Macaca fascicularis: one gene and its partner. The protein of the gene in region 2 interacts with the protein of the main gene of each other region in a biochemical or structural test. Links are inferred from orthologs where the notes say so. Each region holds a gene or a part of one and is shown on either strand. Other genes may lie near its edges.

Region 1 (4,266 bases), on a different chromosome or scaffold from region 2:
AGAAAGCAGGCAGGCAAAAAATTTATGAAAGAACATATGACAAAATAATATCTGCTTCAAAACTTAATATTTTTAAATTTTTTTTTTAATGAGTCAGGCTGTTTTTTTGGGGGGGTGTGTCTCATTCTGTCACTCAGGTTGTCACGGCGCGATCTTGGCTTGCTGCAACCTCTACCTCCCAGGCTCAAGTAATCCTCCCACCTCAGCCTCTCTAGTAACTGGAACTATAGGCATATGCCACAACGCCCAGCTAATTTTTTGTAGAGACTGGATTTCGCCATGTTGCCCAGGCTGGTCTCGAATTGTGAGCTCAAGTGGTCTGCCTGACTAAGTCTCCCAAAGTGCTGAGATTACAGGCATGATGCACCTGGCCCAAAAGTTCATTTTGCAAATGCTTATATTAGCAGGTCTCACTTCTCCGGGGAAAGATCCTAAATATCAGTTTCTTAAACTGCAGCCTCAATTGCTTAGTAATGTTTTGGGGGAGGTGGTCGTTTTATAATTTTAAAAAAAATTATAGATTTTTTAAAACACAAGCGTCTCTTTCACAACGGTAGTTTGCATATACAGTACTAGGATGGGAAGTGCTTCACTTACAGTTGTTCACTGACATTTTGTGTGGCATCCAGATTTTTTTTTTATTTTTGAGACAGGGTCTGTCCTCACCCAGGCTGGAGTGCAGTGGTGTCATCACAGCTTACTGCAACCTCCACCTTCCAGGCTCAAATGATCCTCCCACTTCAACCTCCCCAGTAGTTGGGACTACAGAAATGTGCCACCAGGCCTGGTTAATTTTTAAATTTTTGGTGGAGACAGACTCACTAAGTTGCCCAGACTGGTCTTGAGCTCCTAGGCTCAAGTGATCCTCCCACCTTGGCCTCCCAAAGTGCTGGTATTACAGGCGTGAGCTGCACCACACCCGGCCCAGAACCTCTTTTAAAATATTCTTAAAAATTAAATCTGGGCCGGGCGCGGTGACTCATTCCTACGATCTCAGCACTTTGGGAGGCCAAGGCGGGAGGATCACTTGAGCCCAGGAGTTCACTTGACCAGCCTGGGCAAGATAGTAAGACCCTTTGCCTCCACAAAAAATTAAAAAATTAACTGGGTGTGGTGGCGCATTTCTGTAGTCCCAGGTACTCAAGGGGCTGAAGTTAGAGGATAGCTTGAGCTGGAGAAGTCGAGGCTGCAGTGAGCTATGATGGCACCTGGCCAACAGAGCAAGACCATTTCTCAAAACAGAAACAATAACTGTTTGAGAAACTTTATTTCTTCATCCGAAGACACTGCTGAATGTCACCTACATATAATGCCCGTAAGTTCACTTAAAATACTCCCCTCCGATTCCCCCATCCCCTCCTACTTAGTGTGCAATCAACAGGTTCTTTTCTTCTTCCATTTCTTCCCCCAGCCCCAGACCAAGAATTGGCCCATTAAGTCCTCCTCAACTAGTACCCTTCCTGCCTTTTTCTAGCTATATTGTTTTTGGCGTCCCGGATTTCTTGAAAAATGCTTCCCTCTCCAAGTGGGGCCTTCCTAGTATCTTTGCAGTAGGGCCAGTTGGGGAAAGGCACAAAATTCAAACCCTTTTGTATCTCGCAGAGCTGGAAATCCGAATTTTAAGTGGCCTAGGAAATGGGAATCTGGATTTCTGGGATGCATGAAATATGTAAACTACATAGCTGTTGTCATTGATAAACAATTATAACGCAAAACTACTGCGATTTCATTTTGTGGAACGGGAAATATTCCCTACAAAGGCGCCCGGGAAATCAGACTTCGCTTACTGTTTCCTCAATACTGGAGGAAATCTTTCCTTCTTACTGGAGGTAAGAATTTACAGCATAGGCAAACTGCAGGAGCAAATATCCCTACACGCCCTTTTGTCGCTTAGACTTTTCTGCTCCCCTCCCCCTCATCTCAAGCGGTTAACGGCTAATGACCCCCATAGAAACACTGTACCCTGAATTGCATTACTTGTTTCATTATCCAGAAAGGAAAGTTTCCTGTGCTAGACCAGGGAGGGAGTAGTGACCATATCAAATGAATTACAACTAGTACCCGAAGGCTTACCCAGGGGGAACAAAGAAGTTTGCTAAAGGCAGATGAGAAAGAGCGCCAGCACCCTCCTAACGTTTGTATTTTTAATAGAGACCATGTTGGCCGGGCTAGTCTCGAACTCCTGACGTCAAGTGATCCGCCCGCCTCGGCCTCCCAAAATGCTGGGATTAAAGGCGACAGCCACGGCGCGCTGCCCCAAGTTAACCTTGGCTCTAAAAGTTGCCTTCGCTAACATTCTAGTTGATCCTCTAGAACTGAAGCAGAACAGAGGCAGCACCACCTTAAGAAATTGTGGTTATAGCTCTCTTTGCGACAAAGTAGGTGGCTCTGAAAAGAGCCTTTGGGTTTGGAGGTGCTTACATAAGCACTTACTTGGAGCTAGTGTACTTGGTAACAGCCTTGGTGCCCTCGGACACAGCATGCTTAGCCAGTTCCCCGGGCAGCAGCAGGCGCACAGCCGTCTGGATCTCCCTGGAGGTGATGGTCGAGCGCTTGTTGTAGTGCGCCAGGCGGGAAGCTTCGCCCGCGATGCGCTCGAAGATGTCATTGACAAAGGAGTTCATGATCCCCATGGCCTTGGAGGAGATGCCGGTGTCGGGGTGGACCTGCTTCAGAACCTTGTACACATAGATGGAATAGCTCTCCTTTCGGCTGCGCTTACGCTTCTTACCATCCTTCTTCTGCGCCTTAGTGATGGCCTTCTTAGAGCCCTTTTTAGGGGCAGGAGCAGACTTAGAGGGTTCAGGCATCGCTATTCCTAAAACAAAACAAAAAAGCTACTAACACTCTCCAGCAGAGTAGTAGAGAGAACAGTTCAGAGCCCACGTATTTATAGTCCTGAGATTCAAATGACGGTTTAAGATTCCTCACTTCTGATTGGATAAAAGAAATACAGTTTCACTGAGGGGTGGGGTTTATGCAAATATGGAATTTATGGACTCTTTTTCTATTGGATAAAGCAGGAAACATAATTGACCAATAGGATAACTCTCTATTGCAGCCTTGCAGTTTGTATAAAAGTATTTCTTCAGGCGCCATTCCATCTTGCTTGTTTTTTACAGTTTTCAGAGGTCGCTGTGTTTGGACATGGAAAACGGAAGTAAAGCACAAAGTTGTTCATCGGTACCAGCCTTGCAGTTTCTAGTAGCGCAGGGTCCATCGTCTTTTTCGAAAGGGCAATTATTCTGAGCCTGTCGAAGCCGGCGCGCCGCTGTACTTAGAATACCTGGCCGCCGATATCCTGGAGCTGACACGCAGCGCCATACGTGACAAGACCCATAGCATCCCCCGCCACTTGCAGCTGGCCTTCCGCAACGACGAGCAGCTCAACAAGCTGCTGGGCAAAGTCACTATTACTCAGGGAGGCGTCCTGGCCAATATTCAGGCCGTCCTGTTGCAAAAATAACCGAGAACCACGATAAGGCCAAAAGCAAGTAAAGCCCACTCAAGCCAGAAAACGTACCTTAAACTTGCTACGGCATTTTTCAGAACCGTCCATTGTTTCACAAGAAAGGATGGTAACTTGCTTGTGTTTCGGGTACCTTTTGGTTTTGGTTTGGATTGGTTTGAGACAGAGTTTCGCTCTGTCACCCAAGCTGGAATGCCGCCGCGCGATATCGGCTCACTGCAACCTCCACCCCGCGGCTTCACCAGGTTCTCATGCCTCAGCCTCCTTTGTACCTGGGATTACAGGCGTCTGCTACCACGCCTAGCCAATTTTTGTATTTTTATTCGAGACGGGGTTTTCACCATTTTAGCTAGGGTTGTCTTGAACTCCTGGCCTCAAGTGATCCTCCCATCTTGCCCTCCCAAAATGCTGGGATTACAGGCGTGAGCCACGGCCCCCCTAGCCTAATGGTGTTTAAAAATTAAGTTTCGAGGAAATATCTTCTTTAAGAAACTACATTTTAGAGTATACAAAGTGAAACTAAAGCCAACCAAAATAAGACAGTTTGAGAACAGTCAGGGTGGGAATGTGACTTGGACTTAGAAAACGAAGGATAAGGAAACTGGCTGTTGACCAGTAACAAAATAGCATGGAATTCTCATTCTCTGAATGTAAGTAGTTTCCGACATGAGGCAGTCAACGTTTCTGGTGGTTTAGTGAGTGTTCACCAGCACTGATAACTTTCAAGACTGTCAGGAATGCAGAATTTCAAGTCCCACGCAAACTTACTGAATCGGAATTTACATTAAAAAAATCCG
Region 2 (3,645 bases):
AGTCAATAAATGTGATACACCATATAAACAGAATTAAAAACAAAAATCACATGATCATCTCAATAGATGCAGAAAAAGCATTTGACAAAATCCAGCATCCTTTTATGATTAAAACCCTCAGCAAAATCAGCATAGAAGGGACATATCTTAAGGTAATAAAAGCCATCTATGACAGTCCCACAGCCAACATTATACTGAACAAGGGAAAGTTGAAAGCATTCCCCCTGAGAACCGGAACAAGACACAGATGCCACTCTCACCACTTCCATTCAACATGGTACTGGAAGTCCTAGCCACAGCAATCAGACAAGAGAAAGAAATAAAAGGCATCCAAATTGGTAATGAGGAAGTCAAACTGTCACTGTTTGCTGATCACATTATCATATACCTAGAGAACCCTAAAGACTCATCCAAAAAGCTGCGAGAACTGGTAAATGCATTCAGCGAAGCTTCAGCATACAAAATTAATGTGCACAAATCAGAGCTCTGCTAAACACCAACAGCAGCCAAACTGAGAATCATATCAAGAACTCAACCGCTTTGACAATAGCTGCAAAAAAAATAAAATAAAATATTTAGGAATATACTTAACCAAGAACGTAAAAGACCTCGACAAGAAAAATTACAAAACACTGCTGAAAGAAATCACAGATGACACAAACAAATGGAAATACATCCCATGCTCATGGATAATAGAATCAATATTGTGAAAATTACCATACTGCCAAAACCAATCTACAAATTAAATGCAATTCCCATCAAAATACCAACATCGTTCTTCAAGGAACTAGAAAAAACAATCCTAAAATGCATATGGAACCAAAAAAGAGCACGTATAGCCAAAGCAAGACTAAGTAAAATGAACAAATCTGGAGGCATCACATTACCTGACTTCAAACTATACTATAAAGAAATAGTCACAGCCAGGCGCAGTGGCTCACACCTGTAATCCCAGCACATTGGGAGGCCGAGGCGAGCAGATCACGAGGTCAGGAGATTGAGACCATCCTGGCTAACACAGCAAAACCCCATCTCTGCTAAAAATACAAAAAATTAGCCGGGCATGGTGGCGGGTGCCTGCAGTCCCAGCTACTCGGGAGGCTGGGGCAGGAGAATGTTGTGAACCCGGGAGGCAGAGCTTGCAGGGAGCCAAAATCGCGCCACTGCACTCCAGTCTGGGCAACAGGGCAAGACTGTCTCAAAAAAACAAAAAACAAAACAAAACAAAAAAACCCACAGTCACAAAAACAGCATGGTACTAGTATAAAAATAGGCATATAAACCAATGAAACAGAATAGAGAACCCAGAAATAAAGCCAAATACATACAGGCAACTGATTTTTGACAAACCAAACAAAAACATAAAGTGGGAAGGGACACCCTATTCAACAAATGGTGGTGTGATAATTGGCAAGCCACATATAGAAGAATGGAACTGGATCCTCATCTCTCACCTTATACAAAAATCAACTCAAGATGGGTCAAAGACTTAAATCTAAGACCTGAAACCATAAAAATTCTAGAAGGCAACATTGGAAAAACCTTTCTAGACACTGGCTCAGGCAAAGACTTCATGACCAAGAACCCAAAAGCAAATGCAACAAAAGAAACAATAAATAGATGAAACTTAATTAAACGAAAAAGCTTCTGCACAGCAAAAGAAATAATCAGCAGAGTAAACAGACAACCCATAGAGTGGCAGAAAAAAATCTATACATCCAACAAAGGACTAACATCCAGTATCTACAAGGAACTCAAACAAATCAGCAAGAACAAAACAAACAATCCCACCAAAAAGTGGCTAAGGATATGAATATACAATTCTCAAAAGAAAATATACAAATGGCCAACAAACATAAGAAAAATGCTCAACATCATTAACTATCAGGGAACTGTACATCAAAACCACAGTGCAATACCACCTCACTTTGCAGGAATGGCCATAATCAAAAAATAATAGGTGTTGGCATGGATATGATGAAAAGGGAACACTTTTACACTATTGGTGGGAATGTAAACTAGTACAACTACTATGGAAAACAGCATGGAGATGCCTTAATGAACTAAAAGTAGATCTACCACTTGATTCAGCAATCCCACTTCCAGGTATCTACCTAGAGGAAAAGTCACACCATGGAATACTACTCAGTCATAAGAAGGAACAAAATAATGCCATTTGCAGCAATATGGATGGAATTGGAGACCAATATTCTAAGTGAAGTAACTCAGGAATGGAAAACCAAACATTGTATGTCCTTACTCGTAAGTAGGAGCTAAGCTATGAGGATGCAAAGGCATGAGAATTATACAATAAACTGTGGGGACTTGGCAGAGGGAGGCAAGGGACAAAAGACTACACATTGGGTACAATGTACACTGCTTGGGTTGTGGGTGCACCAAAATCTTGGTATCACCACTAAAGAACTTACTCATGTAACCAAACACCACCTGTTCCCCAAAACTATGGAAATTTAAAAAAAAAAAAAAAAAGTAAAATCACACATACCTCCTAACCTCACCCACAACTCATCCCAATATCCAGAGGTAATGATTCTAACAGTTACTCATGCAGCCTTCCAGAAATTTTTAAAATACACAGCACAGGCACACAAGTAAACATACACTTTAATGCAAAAAGGGTAACAAAATAAGTCAGTTGATTTTATTTCAGACATGTTTCCATATTAGCAGATCCATATTTGACAGCTACACTGTACTCTTTTGTAGGAATAACAGTAGAGATGTATAATTTACTCACCAATACCCTAATGATGAACATTTAGTTTTCAAATTTTTTTCCATCACAAAAAAATGCCACAATAATCATTCTTTAATTTGTATCGTCATGTAGCAAGCGCCCTATTTCAATAGAATAGAAAGCTCTACTCATCTTAATTACCTGAGTCTTCAGAGTCAAAACCTGGTCTGCCAGCTCCTCCTTCTCTTCTTTAAGCAATTTATGGATCTGATTGGACTTGATACGCTCTGACATGAGCTTGAAATTTGCATCATCCTTCTCCCGCAATTGCTGCATCAAACGGATATTTTGCTCCTGCATGTCTTCAAAGGCCTGGCCTGTGACATCCATCTCAGAGAGGAGTGCTTCTTCTTCCTAAAGGATGGAGGAAGAGATTTCATTTTAGAAGAATCTTCCAACTTCAATGGATGAGCACCGGAAACTAAACTTTCCCACCGTTCACTTACATATAAATTAATTTAGTGACAGAGTTTTAAGAAGCTGTGTTTTGTCATTAGGCATACAAAAGCTCTATTATCTGAAGTCACTGGCACCAATTGTTGGTCTGATACTTATTAGTTGACCTGTATTCAAAGTCAGTTAAAGCAGACAATAATTGTATTTACCTTAATCTAGACAAACAGATCAAGCAGTAATTGGTTAAGAGTATTTCCGGCCGGGCGCGGTGGCTCAAGCCTGTAATCCCAGCACTTTGGGAGGCCGAGACGGGCGGATCACGAGGTCAGGAGATCGAGACCATCCTGGCTAACACAGTGAAACCCCGTCTCTACTAAAAAATACAAAAAAAAAAAACTAGCCGGGCGAGGTGGCGGGCGCCTGTAGTCCCAGCTACTCGGGAGGCTGAGGTAGGAGAATGGCGTAAACCCGGTAGGCGGAGCTTGCAGTGA

Evidence for each region.
Region 1: of the proteins of RNF20 (region 2) and histone H2B type 1-B, one has a biochemical effect on the other in vitro, tested with the Homo sapiens proteins (2 studies listed by BioGRID, with this or other methods). The link is inferred for Macaca fascicularis from reciprocal best matches to the Homo sapiens genes RNF20 and H2BC3.

Annotation. Positions count from the first base shown.
Region 1 is NC_088378.1:146,884,704-146,888,969, reverse strand, and holds the start of histone H2B type 1-B, read right to left. Parts: upstream 2,864-4,266; 5' UTR 2,811-2,863; coding exon 2,434-2,810; intron 1-2,433. UniProt on the Homo sapiens protein: Core component of nucleosome. Nucleosomes wrap and compact DNA into chromatin, limiting DNA accessibility to the cellular machineries which require DNA as a template.
Region 2 is NC_088389.1:56,540,803-56,544,447, forward strand, and holds part of RNF20 (E3 ubiquitin-protein ligase BRE1A), read right to left. Parts: intron 3,113-3,645; coding exon 2,900-3,112; intron 1-2,899. UniProt on the Homo sapiens protein: Component of the RNF20/40 E3 ubiquitin-protein ligase complex that mediates monoubiquitination of 'Lys-120' of histone H2B (H2BK120ub1).